2 linked regions of the Neodiprion lecontei genome follow. The protein of the gene in region 1 purifies or fractionates together with the protein of each later gene. This does not show direct contact. Links are inferred from orthologs where the notes say so. Each region holds a gene or a part of one and is shown in the gene's direction. Other genes may lie near its edges.

Region 1 (10,504 bases):
TGGTTTTTTAGACATGTTTGGACATGCTCGTGTAGTGAAAAATTCAAAAATCTCAAATGCAGTTATCATTTTATTGTCTGTTCCGCATACTACACTTTCCGAACGATGGTCTTCGACATGTTCATTACCGTGGCTCATAATTATAAGAAACATTGAATGAACATGACGTAAGTCTGGTCTCATGGCGAATGCTGAAATTTCTTCTAGCATTTTCTGCAATTTTATTGTTTAATTCAAAACATGAATGGGAAAAATTATGCAGTAAAAAATATAAGATTTCAGAGATAAAAAGAATGAAGTCTTTAAATGAATGTCCTTAATAAATACTCCATGGCGTAATCAGTAACATAATCACTTTGATTAAGGTTGAAGTTCTTAATGTTATTCTACGAATTTACATTGAATCATTCTTGGTCAAGTACGAACAATTTTATTCAGCCACATTTTCATTTAATCACGTCTTTACTACCCATTCTTACTACAAATATCAAATATGTACTAATCTGATAATGTTAGTAACTTACCTCTCGTGTCAAGTTTTGCCGAACTATAACTTGAAAACCCATTTGTTCAAACAATTCTTTTAAATTGTCCTCATCGTGTTTGGCAGCAGCCCTTTCCTTGGCTCCTTCAGTGAACAATATGTTATTGATAATCAAGACCAAGCCACGAGGGTTACTAAACATGGCATAATTCAAAATATTATCATTCTTTGTCTCCATTAACTTAGTTGATTTCTTCACACGAATTCTTAGAGGTTCTTCGACATGTTGAAGCTTCCTATAATAGTCATCTTCCCTATGCCAGTAGAGAAAATGGAAATAATTATGTATAATATCATAAGGGTAATTTTTTTCCTGATACATTTCATATACTCCACTCCTTAGTCCAAGTTGTACTTACTCAAAAAATTCGTTTCGGATTACTTGGTTATTCAGAGGGTCAACAATATTCCTATTAATTTCTGGAATTGTTTCTTCACTTTTATTGTCAACTTCATTTGGTTTTAGTAAATTTGCTAAATCATTGCGATTCACTTCTCGTAAACATTGAACAAAACTGTCGAATGCTCTAGGACCACGTGACTCTATAGTCAAATATATTTCGCGATTATTATCCATGTCATCCAAGCGTTTCTAAGCATTAGAAATACACAGAAATAATACATTTAACAAGCAGACAAATCATAGACTAAGGGCGTGTTCGGAAATTGACTGAAAGTACTGTCAGTACTGAAAATGGTATAGTCCAAGTGACGTATACTGTAGATTTTCAGTATAAATGTAAATGGAACGAGATACATGGAAACGTTTCTACAGATGAATCATTCAAGCAAAAAATAAAAACATATTTCAGTGCTTTCTCTCAGAAAATACATGGTGTAATTGGAAACAAAAGAGAGAGAAGTGAATAATACACAGGGTAAAATTATTAATGTGATATGCAAAGGAGAATAGCATACGTATCTTGTGTCGCATTCTTACCTGCCACTTCTGAATCTTTTTATAGTTTTCGCCATAAATTTTGTGTTGCAGTAGCAATGGAAATATTTCACGCCAATCTATTTCCTCAACTAGTTTGCCCAAATTTTTTCTTAATTTTTTACGGTCCTCTTCGTTCATTGCGAAAAGAAATGTTTGTAACACCAGAGATGAGTAGGGAGATCTCCAACGCTCGGCTTTTCGTGGTACCAGCTAGGTTAGAGCGTCGACGTGACACCTAGGAGGCCACGCACCGAAGGTGGCCCAGAATCGTGTATATGTAGATATACTCGGTCGCTCGAGCAAGTGGTTGCCAATCGCATCCCTATCCCCGCTCGCACAGATGTTTCCAGGAATGCACGAATTGGGATAAAATCAGTGTGAATTTTTTCAGAATTTTAAAAGAAGCTTTTGCGGAATTGGTTTTACAATTTTTTTCTGTTTCAGTGGTGGCTAAAGAAATCTGCAAAAAATTCCGACACTGTTTCAAGTCGATTGAAACCGTGGTTGCAACATCATACTAAAGAATTATCAAAATCGAAGAGGGTGAGGTACATGGGTTGCAAATTTGACGTGGAATGCCCCATATACAATGTATATCTACGTTAAACGGATTTTTTACGTTAATGGCTTCGAATATAAAAAAACATCTCTAATTTTTTCAGATTTTTATTTCGAGCTCTTAGTGGCCTTATGTGATTTTCTTTTTAATTAGAAAAAAAGGTAATTTTATGATTTCCGGAATCTCGCCTATTGACAGTGGTCTCAGATAGGAAATATCCTCAGGATTAGGGAAAAAATAATTAAAGAAATCCCACCCACACCACAGCTACGTCCGTGATCGCGCGTTTGCTCGGTATGTTTATGGAGCTTGCTTGGAATTCGCTGATGGTTTTCTGGAAGATTCAGTTCGAGAAAAAAAAAATTTCCTCCAACCACTTGCCCATTGCACATTTTGCATAAATGTTATCGAGCTGGCTTCGTATATTTTTCCATAGACTGCGTGTACAAATATTCGAGAACACCAGGCGTCAAATATTTTCATATCAATAAAAAAATAATATTTATTAAAAAAAAAAAAAGTATTCGGGCTGGGAATGGTTAATTATTTTGGTTCAAAATTTATCAAATCTGGAGATACTTTTATTCGCTGACATTCATAATTGAAACAAAAAAATCCCAATTCTTGCATTCCTGGAAACATCTGTGCGAGCGGGGACAAGGATGCGATTGGCAACCACTTGTTCGAGCGACCGAGTATATGTATATATACACGATTGTGGGCCACCTTCGGTGCGTGGCCGCCTAGGTGTCTCGTCGACGCTCCAACCTAGCTGGTATCACGAAAAGCCGAGCGTTGGAGATCTCCGGGATCTCCCTACTCATCTCTGGTTATACCTGCGACATTTTACGCAAATGTAAGAACGGTAGATTTTTCTTTGTTGAGTTGAACCGGTGAATGATAATCTGGTGGTGAGATCGTATCTCGACAACAATTCAGAACACCGCGTTCGTAGATTATTGTAATCAAACAGCTTGACAACAATAGACGTTAATAATGATTAAATCCAACGAAATATATCTATGTATATCAATATATACCTTTCTGTGACGTAACAGGTGCGTGCAGGTGACACGACGAGCTCCAAGTTCACTCACCGACGGTCATTGGCAACCTCACATAATTCAGATCTTTCTTTTCCCCTTCTTAATTAGAGATCATCTCGGAGATTGAACCTGATTGAAGATGCTGAGAGATATGCATCTAGAAAGTGGGAGGTTAAACGGAAAGATTAAGTCCGGCGGTGCAGCTTCCGCAAACCGTGCTTAAAAAATGAGTCAAAGGTCAGATTGCTAAAAGATTTAGATCGAAATTTGACTACTGTTGGCACACATGTCAGTGAGCGACTTGTTTGCAGTCGCCTGTTCTTTCGTTGATGGCTTGTAGTCACCTTTAGTGGTGTGTGCTTATTGTGGACTTAACGAGTAAACTCAGTTTATTGTAAGCGTAATGTCAATTCACTAAGTTTCGTCGAGATTAATAAACAAGTACTTGGAACATTGCGAATCTTGTACGTTGTCAGTTTCGTATTTTCAATCATAATATTCGTTTTTTTCTGACCTTGTTAGGCTAGGTTAGGTTAGGTTCGCTTTTACATCATTCACAATCTCGCCCAAAAACGCATTTCACATTTTGCGACCTATGTGTTGTACAGAACTGCGCAATTGCAAGAACAGTGCGTATCATGAGACAAGCTCTACAACCTCGATTTTCCCAGCTTTCATCTACATTACTTAAAACTTCTTACCTAATAAAAATTACAAAGCTTATGTAGTATAAATTAACTACATTTAAGAATCTCTTCAATCAACAAAATTTTTTTCCACAGAGAAAAGCATACTGATGCATCGGAATAAACAGGTTTCAACCTTTTAATAAAACTGAAGTATTTATTTTTCAAGCAATTTAGTCCAGAATTTTAGCATTCTAGTCTGATTTGTAGTAGCACCATTGACATTCTGTGGTAGCTTTATTTTCTTATTTTTCTTAATGCGTTAGTATTATTCTTGTTCATCCTATCAAGATTTTATTGCATTGATTTATGTAGTATCTCGTCTCAATATATTGTCGCTATTCTTAGATGGTAGTCCGATTTTAGTTATATTATCAATTTTTTCACTTAGCACTAATTAGCATTAAGTACGTCTGCATCTCTTACTCAGATTGATCTATGCAATATTCACGTGTTTAAGAAACATTTCAATTTGTCGAGTTAGGTTTTTCCTTATTACTGTTTAAAAACGTAGTAATAATTATTGAAACAATGGATACAGACATACATGTGATAATGATTTGTGCTGAAAAGCAGTAATGGTATATGTATCTAGTACGTGATCCTTTATTAGCCAGTTTATTGTTCTGCTATTTTATTGTTTTCAGTTGTTCCTGCATGCTGTGTGCACTGCATCTGAAAATCCCGTCTGCTTTGTATATGCACTGTGTTACCCTTACTTTGCTGATTAAATCGTTGTCCAACAAAATATAAGCAAAAATGGCTGCTTATATCAATCGTACGATATCCATGATTGGGGGAGATGGTCAGCACCGATCGAACGACCTCAGAACTGATAATTCTCCTCTGCAGATCTTTGTCAAGGCTAAAAAGAAAATCAACGATATCTTCGTAGAGATAGATGACTACGTTCAAGATGCAGTCGGATTCATGCATTGTAAGTTTTAAATGATCCTTATAAAGTTTAAGGTTTTCTTCGATACTTGTAGACTCAACTCAATCATTCCGCAGCCTTAAGAGATGATCGTGATATCGTTAATACACAAGAAGCAGAAACAATTGAATCCTATGTCTATAAAGTACACGCAATACGAGATGTGCTTAAACGAGATCATATGAAAGTTGCTTTTTTCGGAAGGTAAGCATAACATATTACTTTGGTAAAAATGTCACACTTGCAAAAAAATTTTTTTTCAACCATCCAATCTATAATCATCAACAAAGAGATAATTTACTCCTTAATAGAACCAGCAATGGAAAAAGTACGGTCATAAATGCAATGTTGCGAGATAAAATATTGCCAAGTGGCATTGGACATACCACAAATTGTTTCCTTCAAGTTGAAGGGTCAGACAACGGTGAATCCTACCTGATCACTGAAGGATCTACAGAAAAACAGCCCGTACAATCCGTGGGTCAGCTTGGTCATGCGTTGTGTAAAGAAAAATTGTGTGAAAGTCATTTGGTACGAATTTTCTGGCCAAGAGAAAAATGTCTACTGTTAAGAGACGATGTGGTATTTGTCGATAGTCCTGGTGTCGACGTAACACCCAATCTCGATGAGTGGATTGATAAGCATTGTCTGGATGCAGATGTCTTTGTTTTAGTCGCAAATGCAGAATCCACTCTTATGGTCACTGTAAGTTTCTGAAACATGTACTGTTGTAAAGAAATCAATGTGAATTATCATTTTCTTTTTTCTTTACAATTAGGAAAAAAATTTTTTCCATAAAGTTTCTACGAAGCTGTCCAAGCCCAACATTTTCATCCTCAACAATCGCTGGGACGCCTCTGCTTCGGAACCAGAATTCTTTGATCAGGTAACTACTTCAACTCCATTAATAATGATGGTAAACCTAACTATGTTTCAGTCATGATTCTTGTTACATCGGGTTTGTTGAGATTCATGTCAAACAAAAACATGATAGATACTATATAGGGAAGTTACAACACCATTTTTTATTATTGATGTTTTGTTCTAAATTAGTTCTAAATTACCAAGTCCCTAGGTCGTTATTGTTCTTTTTCTTTTGGTTAGTCCCAGTTTTAAAAGGAGTAATGTCTCATTTTTCCTTCAGCTGGTCAATGAACAAAGGGAGGTAAGCCTTTCATTAATATAAAACTGTAATCACTTGGTAGAAGCTTGCACAATGTTAAATTATTCACTGACCACAGACAAAAAGAGCATTTTTTCAAATGACGGTTAACGCATGCAAGATACGTGCGATGATTCTCCGATACCCTGTCTGTGTTGTCTCTAGATTTTAATTGCTACCGGATCAGACATTTTTCTATTCTTGGTATATTCGTTACATTTGAAAATCCTTATGCTATTAAACTCTGTTCGTGACTTTTTTTATGAGACATGTTAATTTTTTTCCAACACTTTCCTACGCGAAAAATGAGACGAATTTGGTCACATCATTTATATTTTTACAAATTGTAACGATTTTTCAGTTTTTTGTTCCCAGAATTTATTTTCACAGCTGCATTGCATTCCTGTATGATTTTTCGCACCATTGCAGTAATGATTCACTACTCAGTAAACTACGGTTATAATTCCCAATAAATTACTGCTTCAGATGTAATCAAATTAAATTCTATTTTATTTCTCAAAAGAATTCTACTGATGTAGCCATTTACTTACACATTTTCAGGAACTTTCTTATCAGAATTTTACTTATCTGATTTGTGTCACCATCTTATACCTCAGATATTAATATTTAAACTGTCGCCATGTTCACATAATTGTTTTGTACAGGTCAGGGCACAACATCAAGAACGAGCTGTCGATTTCCTTTCCAAAGAACTGAAGGTTTATACACCCAAGGATGCCGAGGAAAGAGTTTTCTTTATATCTGCTAAAGAAACACTTCAAGCGCGACTACAAGAACAAAGAGGTCAACCTGCTCATAGTAAGTTCTTTACTAATAAACATAAGTTGTTCTAAGTTAGTGCAATTTCATATACCAAATAGTCAATGAAAAATTACAGATGGAGCACTGGCGGATGGTTTCCAAAATCGTTATTTCGAATTTCAAGACTTTGAACGTAAGTTTGAGGAATGCATTTCAAAATCGGCGGTGAAGACTAAATTTGAGCAACATTCCCAACGAGGAAAACATATTGCAATGTGAGTTATCATCATTTTCACTCGTTTTTTTTTTTTTTTTTTTTCATAGAAAATTTGTTGAGTTACAAGAAAGTGACAGTAAAGTATAGCCCCAAAGATGGAAAGAACACTAAACTCGGCATATAACTTGAAATGACCTTCATTTCAGGGAAATTCGATCGACACTAGATGAGATACTTGAACGAACACAAAAGATGCGTTCTTCACAGTTGACCGTGAAGAAAGAAGTACATGACAAATTGAACTTCACAGAACAACAACTAATGCTGCTTACCCAGGAAATGAAAGACAAGATTCACCGTATGGTTGAAGACGTTGAGCAAAGAGTTTCGAAAGCTTTGAATGAAGAAATTAGAAGATTGGCTGTACTAGTAGATGAGTTTAGCGTTCCATTTCACCCAGAACCTTTAGTGCTAAATGTTTATAAAAGAGAACTTCACAGTCACGTTGAAAATGGATTAGGTTAGTCTTCGTCTCCATTTTTACTTAAGCCTCATGTTTTTCAGTGTAAAGTGCCATACAATATCGACTGACTTTGAAATATCATTTGTAATTGCAGGATCAAATCTACGTGCAAGACTCAGCACTGCGTTAGCATTGAATATCGAAAATTCTCAACGTGAGATGACCGAGCGTATGGCTAGTTTACTACCAGATAATAAAAAGCAATTGTCGATTAATATTTTACCGAGACGAGAGCCATTTGAAATTTTGTATCGCTTGAATTGTGACAATCTTTGCGCGGATTTCCACGAGGATTTAGAGTTTAGATTCTCTTGGGGAATCACTGCTTTGATCAATAGATTTGCAGGAAAACAAGGACACAAACTAGCGATTTCTAATCATCCTCAAGCAGTGAGTCAAAGACACTTTCTTCTACACGCCGTCTGAGCTATGGTGTATTACATTATAATGTTGAAAACTTTTATTCTGATTTTCAATAGATACCTCAACTGATGTCCCCTACAGATAGTATAGATTCGGTGAAATTTGTAACAAGTCCAACTTGCATCCCCTCAAGAGGCGATGACTGGTCATTGGCAACTCGTGTCGCAATTGCCTCAATAACATCTCAGGGCACTATGGGAGGGTTACTCGTTGCTGGCTTTGTAAGTGTTGAATGACCACGGTGATTTTTTAACTATATTTCAGAGTACTCTGTATTTTGAATTGACATAATAAATGCTATTCCAGATGTTGAAAACAGTTGGGTGGAGGCTCATAGCCGTAACTGGTGCTGTTTATGGAGCATTGTACCTATACGAAAGGTTAACATGGACAAAAAAAGCTAAAGAAAAAACATTCAAGCAACAATATGTAAACCACGCAACTAAAAAGCTAAGATTAATTGTTGACTTAACATCTGCCAACTGTAGTCACCAAGTACAACAGTAAGTTCTTTCTTTCACTTATTTATGTCAACTGGATAATTTCCAGGATGAACATCAATTTATAGTGTACTCAGCATATTGATTTCTGATTCTTCTGGTTGTACATTTTTCATTTCAGAATAGTCAAAGTCAAACGTACCAAATGTAGTATAATAGCAAATAATTTTTTACGGAAATACAAATTCTAAAGAATTGTTTTATTACTGTGCAGAGAGTTATCGAGTACATTCGCTCGTCTGTGTCATTTGGTGGATGAGGCGACGTCCGAAATGGACGTGGAACTTAAAACGATTGCAACTACTCTTCGTACTCTGGAGGAAGCAGCAACTAACGCAAAGGTCCTCCGTAACAAAGCCAATTATCTAGCTAATGAACTTGATTTATTTGATGCAGCCTATTTAAAGTCATTGAATTGAAAAAAAGTTTGCAAAAAAATCAATGAGGCTGCTAAAGTATTCGATGACTTCCTTGATCTTAGAAATCTATCAATAAGCAGCTGGAAGGATGAGTTTTTTATATATACCTAATTCAGTATGACAATTATACTCTCATATCTTTATACCATTTTTAGAACAATGATTAAATCAATGAATTTTGCTTTATTTAGAATTTTATACACAAACAAACGTATACGAAAGTTGTTATACAATAATTCATACCTGACAACGTCAACTTTTATCTAACATATATATCTAACGTATGTTGCTAGATTTTCAATAGTTACCGCAATACGATATTAATCACTTGGGAGTGTTCAATTACGCACATATAAAAAAATTACAATTGTAGGTAAGCGTCATATTGAAGTCTGTATATACATAAATTCATTGGAAGTTTGAATACCGTAAGTGGAATGTTATATCTAGTCTCAGAACCTTGAAGGTCAACTAATCAATACCGATTTTATCAATCACATTCTTGAACTAATCGAGTGTATAAAATTGTGATTACCCTTGTGATTACATCCCAATTCTGCGGGTACCATAAAATTGTGTGCAAGCTGATTTTCTCAGATCTTACGCATCTTAAACATTGCATTGATCTTTCTCACGATTTTAAATTAGGGGAACTTCAATAGCTGGCATACTTTGAAAGTTTTCTCTAGTTCATTATTATAATATAAGAATAGATACAACTGCAAAGAACTTCAAGAAATGAGGATATAGCTTTGCATGAACAATGTATAGACCCTTTTTCTATTTCAAAACCTAAGAAGTACGTAAACGCGATAGAGAGTACCTAGCTTAATCTAATACATCCCCACAGCAAGCTTCCATTTTGCAAAAGAAGTGAGTTCATGCTGTCTTTAAGTATAATTTCGTATCCTTATTTGGACCGAGTCACTTCGTATGTGTAGAATTGAATAACTAAAGAAAATTATTAAAATTAGCGCAAGATTGTGATTGATATGTATGTTAATATTTTTTTTTTGATAATCATTCAAATCCTAGATCTATTGTAAAGAAAGAACTATACTTATATACTGAAAAATTATGATAGCAATCTATTATCGAAGAATCAATATCATTGTCCAATACTTTGTTGAATTCAACTAGGTAATTAAATTTCATTGGACGAGTGTTAAATGTATGTTAGAATCGTATTAATAAACAGTTGATTATTGCATACCAGACTCCTATCAACCATACTATTGTCAACTCTGTGTACATATGTTGGATTCCGAATATCCATCCTGAACGTTCCCGATTTGTCGAGTTGTCAGAATCCAACGACCTAGGTTCACGAAGAATACAAAAACTATCCTCAATACCAACAAGAGTCAGCGACATTATCAATCAGCAAATGTTGTATACTTACAAATTACATCAAATCCCGCATATGCTTCATAAGATTTATAGTAGAAATGATATTGTATGTAGTACAAATAAACTGAAAGTAGTTCAAGGAGATCAAATTCGTATTATGCATGTATTTTTTCTTTTAAGTTTAATGATTGATAACGATTCAATCGCAAGACTTCTCTGAGAAGAGTTAATGAAATCTTTTGCGTAAATTTTTTATTCTACACTCATTGAAGCCATTGGCTTGGATTTGAATGGACACAATTTATTGGCGAGATATACAATATGGTATTCCAGGGTTTTATTAATTGAAATTTGGAAGTTTGACATCTAGTACAACAATTAATATAAGAGTTTGGTAGATGTAACAATGGTGAACAATTCGACGCATTGTTACTATGCA
Region 2 (6,635 bases), on another chromosome or scaffold:
AACTTACTATACCAACTTCTTTATTAAATATTTATATTCCATACCTCAGTCATTGAAAGCTCGCGAATACAGACTAAAAGTTACCTAAGCATCATGAAAATAACACCGAAAGCTTTTTGTACTTCCCGAATTTTCCCCATTCACAACATAAGCTGTGCAGGCTTATCACCTGGTGCATCAGGGACTTTGCAGGCGTAATGCCCAGGCTGCTTGATTCGAATATTTAATCCATATTCATGCTTATATTCATTATTCAAACTCACTTGTCTAGCTTCAGACGATTCTGGATCTATAAATAGGTGTACATCTGCTTGGGTGTGCAAATGATTGTCTCTCTTTGGTTTTGACGGTTCGTCTTTACTCTGCATCATGAGTAACCAGTCCGTGTCTATCTGAATATTTGGTTCTTCGTCGGGAACTTGAGTTCTGATATTGTATATCTGGTCCCAGTCTTTATAGCGACAGTACTTATCCAGCTCTGGCATTCCAGGGTCTTGGAAAAATAAAACGTTCTTATGCACTGCTGGTACAGGAACTCTGTCCGCTGCGCATTTCTCACACAGAGTTGGGTCGGGCTGTGAAATAATGCAGGCAATAAAGCAAATTGTAGTTCGAGTGAGATTATAAAAGCATTACATTTTTGATGCACAAGTCAATTCTACTTACATGATAATCCAATCTGTGATCTGATTCTTCTTTTACACATATCGGCTTACAGTTTGAATCTACTGAGGAGGTTTGTTCGGAACTGTTTGATAACGAGGATGATAATTTACCGCTGTCTGAGAGACAAGTATCGTTTGATTGCGTTGTGGTTGAGGTCTCACGTTTTGTCGACAATTCACTTCCTTTACTGTCATCACTAAGACTTTGACTGGAGCAGAAATCCAGAACATGCCTAGGCCCACAAGGGCGGATCATCGGTGTTTCGAATGACATTTGTGATGGATCATGGGGAGAGAATTTATCTGTGCTACTTTGCAAGTCACATCGCATTGGTGAGTCTTTACTAATTTCCGATTCACCTCCGCAGAGTGAAGGTTTGTCCTGATATCCATTACCGCAGACATTTGTACTGTCACAAAGTGCGTTACTAAAAAACCAATACACAAATATTTTTGCATCTCCGTGGGGAACTCGAATATCGTAAATTAATCAGTTAGACTAGAGACCCTTGGAGATTAAATTCTTTAGTGGAATATCGACTAACTTATTCTTTGGACACGTCGAAATTTCAGTAGACGGTTTCTCTGCAGGTTCGTTCCCACAAACGTTCAATTTTTCTTGACAAATTGTCGTATAGGATGAATTGTCTTCACATAAACCTCCATCTTCCTTGATACATCGGTGCTGCTTCTTTGATTTACATTTTGTGGATTTCTTGCCATATTTATACCGATAATTACTGTTATCATTTTGTCCGCAACATGACAGCAAATCCACACTGACGTCGCTATCCTCTTCTTTGCTGTACAATGAATCTATGCAACATAGAATTTTACTGTGATGATTGCTTGGATTTTCTATCAAACATTAAGCATTATTTCTCAACCCTACAGCGTTCGCTTGCGTAAGTAATTTGATTATCTTACCTCCACAAATCTTGGGACAGCACGTATCAGAAGAATCTGATGGATTTATTCCGTTACTAGAATTGCACACAGAATCTGAATTATCGGAGCTCTTTTCTGTGTCTGATTTATTGTCGACAGTTGTTTCGGAAAAATGTTGACAGGTGCAAAATAGTTGCTGGTCTTGCGGTGCGAGAAACCAATTCATGACGTTTGTTTTGAAATGCTCCGGTGTCCAAATATCTTCGGTGTATAATCTTGGGCAGCAGGCTTGCCATGGTTTTGCAGGTTCTGCTTTTACTGAGGAGACTTGAAAGAAGTTTTTTTTTTGTTACTTTCACACAACCTTAGAAGCAGACAACGTAATTTTTACTGACCCTTGTCGGATGATTGTGCTAACTTTGTTTGAACAGATTCTATCATCTCTTCAAGAATGCGATACCAGGTTGACGGAAACACATATTTTCGACTGCATCTTTTTTCGATCATCTGTTTCCTCATCTCTTCTGCGTACATGGCTTTCAGAGATTCCATTAATCTGATACATTCTCTTTCACTCACACCAAGCAAGTTCAATCTCCTAGCTATTATACCGTACGCCTTCATCCTTCTCGATCGATCTTTGTAAAATGAATGCGTAGGGTCCCATAATATAGGATGAACTTTGTAGATGCTTAAAAACCTTAAAATGTTCACATCGGTCCACTTTTTGGCATCAGGGACAAAGCGCAGCCACCACTTTTGGTTCTTTTCAATCACATCTGATTGAGGTTTCGCTATTTTCATATCTTCACTGGTGGAAATTTTGAACTTTATTTTACCAAAACAATGCTATCGGATGATAATTATGAAGCCAAGAAACGTAGAGACGAAATATATTACAGAGTTCAGTGCCTACTCGGCATTGAAACCGTGATTGAAACTATCCTCTTTGACCGAAACAACCGAAATTCAGTGGGTTGCTACCGTTATACTAGCGTTTTATTTGCTCACGGGATCGGCACGAAACTCAAATATTGTTAAAACTCCCGCATGGGGAAGAATTGATTGCAAATTCATAATTCAATCGAATAATTAAGGTAACGTACATAGTATATACTTTGGCTAGTAACAGATCGGTATATAAATATTCATCTGTACAGGTCTGAGCTACCTGATTTGAATCGATGCTGCGTGAAATATTGGGTGCATTTTATTTGTCACGTTTTGAAAATGAAAGCTTTGGAAAAAGCAGCCGGTTGGCTGATATTCGAATATTGACCAATCAGGTGAGTCTTTCAACCATTTCATTTTCAAAAGATGGCGAATAGAATATGTCCTTTATCAGCCCCAACAGTCAAGTGCTGCACTCTGCGTCTGACTAGAATATATCTCGCACCTAATTTGGGTTCGAATGGTTCGAAATGATTTTTTGAAGGTTGTAAAATATACGTATTTGACGCAGAAAATACGCTTCATATGCAAACATGTACTCCTCCACATTTATCGCGATAACATTTGGTGTTACCGTAAAGCAAAATTCTACGTAGAACTGCTTCGATATTAAAGACTCTATAATGAGTTTTCTGTTCAATCTTCTGAAGGGTGCCTTTTTGAGAATGTTGCAGTTGATTTGGTTCGGAAAACGAAAGATATCGAACTCGTTGAGTATCTACGTGAAAACTAACACGGGAAATACGCTCTCCATTGATTTGGATCCGAAATGGGACATCAGAAACCTAAAAGAGATCGTCGGGCCTCAGCTTGGCATATCTCCCGAAGATATCAAGATCATATTTGCTGGTAAAGAGTTGCACAATTCCACGATAATAGAGGTATGTTAACAATCGTATAATCAGCAGTAAAGTGTCGTTTTATTACGGTACAAAATTTAGTTATTAACAATTGTGTTTTTCTACCTAACCTCAATTCTAATCTGAAATGTAAATATTTTTATCTGTTGTCTAGGAATGCGATCTTGGTCAGCAAAGTATTTTGCATGCCATAAAATTGCCACCCGGAAAAAATCGCCTTAATAGAAAAAAAGATACTAAAAATCTTATCGAAGAATCTATAGATGAAGGATCGGAAGCAAATGAAAGTGGAAGCAAACCTCTGAACGAAACTTTGATCGACTTACCATTGGAGGATTCGGACCGTCATGAAAATCACAGCGAGCAGGGTATTCATACATTTAGTTTTCCCCATTGCAATGACTTTTGTAGGATTAAAGTCTTGACGATAGAATTCTCGAGTAGTAGATTTCTTGTTGAACGGAACAAAAAAATTGGTCAATATATGTTTACGTAATTACACTGCAGTGTTTTTAAGCTGTAATTATTATCACAATACTCTTTTGAATTTGGTGGTTGTGATGATTTTACAGAGCAGCAACAAGCCCGTGCCCATTTTTACGTTTACTGTTCGCTGCCATGTAAATCAGTGGAAGCAGGAAAGCTGAGAGTGAGATGCGCGACATGTGGTAGCGGGGCTGTGACTGTGGATCGAGACCCTCAGTGTTGGCCTGACGTGCAGCAGCCTCGTAGAATAACTGTACATTGTGAGAATCACGATTGTCAGACATTACTGTCTTCCTTAGCACAGAAGGATGAAGGTACTCCTCAAGTGAGATACGCGCAGTTTTATTTCAAGTGCGCCAATCACGTGAGTCTTGGAGAAAAAGATGAGGCGGTACCGCTTTATTTGATTAAACCAAATCTGAGAAATGTACCTTGTCTGGCTTGCACGGATACAAGGTAAAGCTTTGATTTGGCACATAAATAATTGGTGTAGAAGTAAACGTAAGAAGAATTAATACAAGCTTTGTTAATACTTTTCAGGGACACGGTACTGGTTTTCCCTTGCGAGGCTGGACATGTAACCTGCCTGGACTGCTTCCGGGACTATTGCGTGGCTCGTCTGCGGGATCGTCAGTTTGAGTTTGACGACAACCACGGATACTATACCTTGCCATGTCCGGCTGGTTGCCAAAATTCGCACATATCCGAAGTTCATCACTTCCGTCTTCTCTCACCTGAGCAGGTACAGCGGTACCTAAAATTATTGGCCTCTTCTACTTTCACCGTCACACTCATTCCATAAATATCATTGGATTACCAATGAATGAATGCAATTCAAATTACAGTATGAGCAGTACCAACGATTTGGAACTGAGGAATACGTTCTAAGGGCAGGAGGACTTCTGTGCCCGAGGCCTGATTGCGGAATGGGAATTATTCCACCTGATCAGACTGATGAGGAGCGTAGTCGATCCCCGGATGAGGACGACTGTCGTAGAATTCAATGTATTGGTGGTTGTGGGGTACGTGATAAAATTGTTGCCAGTACTCGAGGACATTTAGCTCTTACTCACTGCTGAAAAACCACTATAATTCAGTGTTTTCCCATAGTATGTTTTCTGTAGGCGATGCTTGCAAGGTTTCCACGTAGGTGAATGTGACTCACAACAGCCTACGACGTATTCTTCTACCTCCGCCGTCTCCTGTCTTTCAGGCTATGCAATTGATCCTCTGCGAGCTAGCGAGGTAAGTAACACTATTTTTATTTACTTATTTGAATCGATAAACAATCACACAGATAACCTAATTTTAATTCCAGGCCAAGTGGGACGAAGCGAGTAAGAAGACCATTCAAATATCGACGAAACCATGTCCGAAATGTAGAACACCGACTGAACGAGATGGTAAGCTTATTCACGTATATTTTTCAGTCTTACCTTATTAAGAGTTTTTAACTCGCTTGCCCGTTATATTTGCCATAATTTGGATATGGAAATGATAATGAACTATTGAGATTGGGGAACAATAATGATTGGCAGGTGGCTGTATGCACATGGTTTGTACAAGAGCTGGCTGTAGTTTCCAGTGGTGCTGGGTTTGTCAGACGGAATGGACGAGAGACTGTATGGGAAGTCATTGGTTCGGATGATGTTCTGAAACTATTTATATCAGCAATTGTTTATGCTGTGATGGGATCAGGTTAATGCAACTTCGAAAGCCAGGTAAAATTGTGATAGGTATTTACCTACGTAGTGAAATAAATTGTTGTTCTTTTCAATTTTTTATTTTTATCATCAGAATACACCCTTTATGCCTCTATACCTGAAACCTCTCAATCGCCTACAGGCTGTACAATATTTACATGGTAATAAAAAATAAGAGCACTGAACACTCACGGTTTTATTATCATTATAGTAAATTTGTGTAAGTCGATGTTGAAAAATTTTCTAGGTATATCGGAAAGTGATAGGCGGCAAATTAACAATTCGCGTCTCTAGGATATGGATATTACCGTTACTACTTAAGCTTTAGGCAAACATACACTGTGTGTATCTGAGTATTTAATTATACAGTATAAGGACTTTACCGCGATAATAGCTTATATTATTATGGTAGTTCCTCCCAAAATGAGTTTTCTTACAATCGTTCTAAGAAAAAAGTACACACTTTCATAACAGTATTTTACATCAGCTATCAAAATTGAGTGAGCTTGACCGTATCAATCTCGAGATATTAATTGTCAAAGTTTCAATTATCTACACCTGACTTCCTATCTCTGAGAATCTTAATGAAAAATGAGTATGTTAAAGCATCGGACAAAAACTTCCCTCGCTGATTGTAATATATATTTCACTGTACCGTTTCAGAGTAATTTTAATCCAAAGTTGAGGATTTTACGGTACGTACGACGCGAGCCAACGAGAGTGAGAGAGACCGCCAACAAAGCTTGTGTACTTGAGGGGCGCATGTCTGTGTGTACGAAAATGGCAGGAACTACCTTAATGCTGTCCTGGGAGACGATAATCTTCTGTAATCCTATGCTAATTACCTATAATTATCCTATTCGTAGCCGTATCTTATTTACAGGCGACAAGAATTCGCCAGACATTCTTTCAAATGGACGGATTTTGTTCCGACTTACGTAGGTATTACTACCGACTTCAACTACCGTAAAATTATTGTAATTTACGTGTGTGTGCCTCCTCAATTGCATTATAACAGTAACAATCATCTCTTTACTATCGTATACTGTCGTCTCGGTTTTATCGATAACAATTACGTTAAC

What was found. Proteins that work in one complex are often made in the same cells at the same time.
Region 2: the proteins of transmembrane GTPase Marf (region 1) and E3 ubiquitin-protein ligase parkin purify together in Drosophila melanogaster (affinity purification with western blotting; 3 studies listed by BioGRID). This does not show direct contact. The link is inferred for Neodiprion lecontei from reciprocal best matches to the Drosophila melanogaster genes Marf and park.

The regions. Positions count from the first base shown.
Region 1 is NC_060261.1:40,125,697-40,136,200, forward strand, and holds transmembrane GTPase Marf, read left to right. Parts: upstream 1-2,878; 5' UTR 2,879-2,899; intron 2,900-3,199; exon of another isoform or gene 3,200-3,326; intron 3,327-3,350; exon of another isoform or gene 3,351-3,553; intron 3,554-3,871; exon of another isoform or gene 3,872-3,903; intron 3,904-4,422; 5' UTR 4,423-4,534; coding exon 4,535-4,712; intron 4,713-4,786; coding exon 4,787-4,913; intron 4,914-5,020; coding exon 5,021-5,414; intron 5,415-5,487; coding exon 5,488-5,595; intron 5,596-5,853; coding exon 5,854-5,874; intron 5,875-6,536; coding exon 6,537-6,690; intron 6,691-6,769; coding exon 6,770-6,908; intron 6,909-7,056; coding exon 7,057-7,370; intron 7,371-7,467; coding exon 7,468-7,763; intron 7,764-7,852; coding exon 7,853-8,017; intron 8,018-8,102; coding exon 8,103-8,299; intron 8,300-8,510; coding exon 8,511-8,715; 3' UTR 8,716-9,925; downstream 9,926-10,504. Other genes in the region: caspase Dronc, read right to left, coding at 1-213, 525-804, 904-1,136, 1,485-1,622. UniProt on the Drosophila melanogaster protein: Mitochondrial outer membrane GTPase that mediates mitochondrial clustering and fusion.
Region 2 is NC_060260.1:36,826,583-36,833,217, reverse strand, and holds E3 ubiquitin-protein ligase parkin, read left to right. Parts: upstream 1-2,918; 5' UTR 2,919-3,127; coding exon 3,128-3,385; intron 3,386-3,518; coding exon 3,519-3,732; intron 3,733-3,936; coding exon 3,937-4,306; intron 4,307-4,390; coding exon 4,391-4,592; intron 4,593-4,695; coding exon 4,696-4,872; intron 4,873-4,960; coding exon 4,961-5,095; intron 5,096-5,168; coding exon 5,169-5,253; intron 5,254-5,388; coding exon 5,389-5,498; 3' UTR 5,499-5,627; downstream 5,628-6,635. UniProt on the Drosophila melanogaster protein: E3 ubiquitin-protein ligase which accepts ubiquitin from E2 ubiquitin-conjugating enzymes in the form of a thioester and then directly transfers the ubiquitin to targeted substrates, such as Paris, Marf, Opa1, Miro, pnut, Septin1, Tom20 and porin.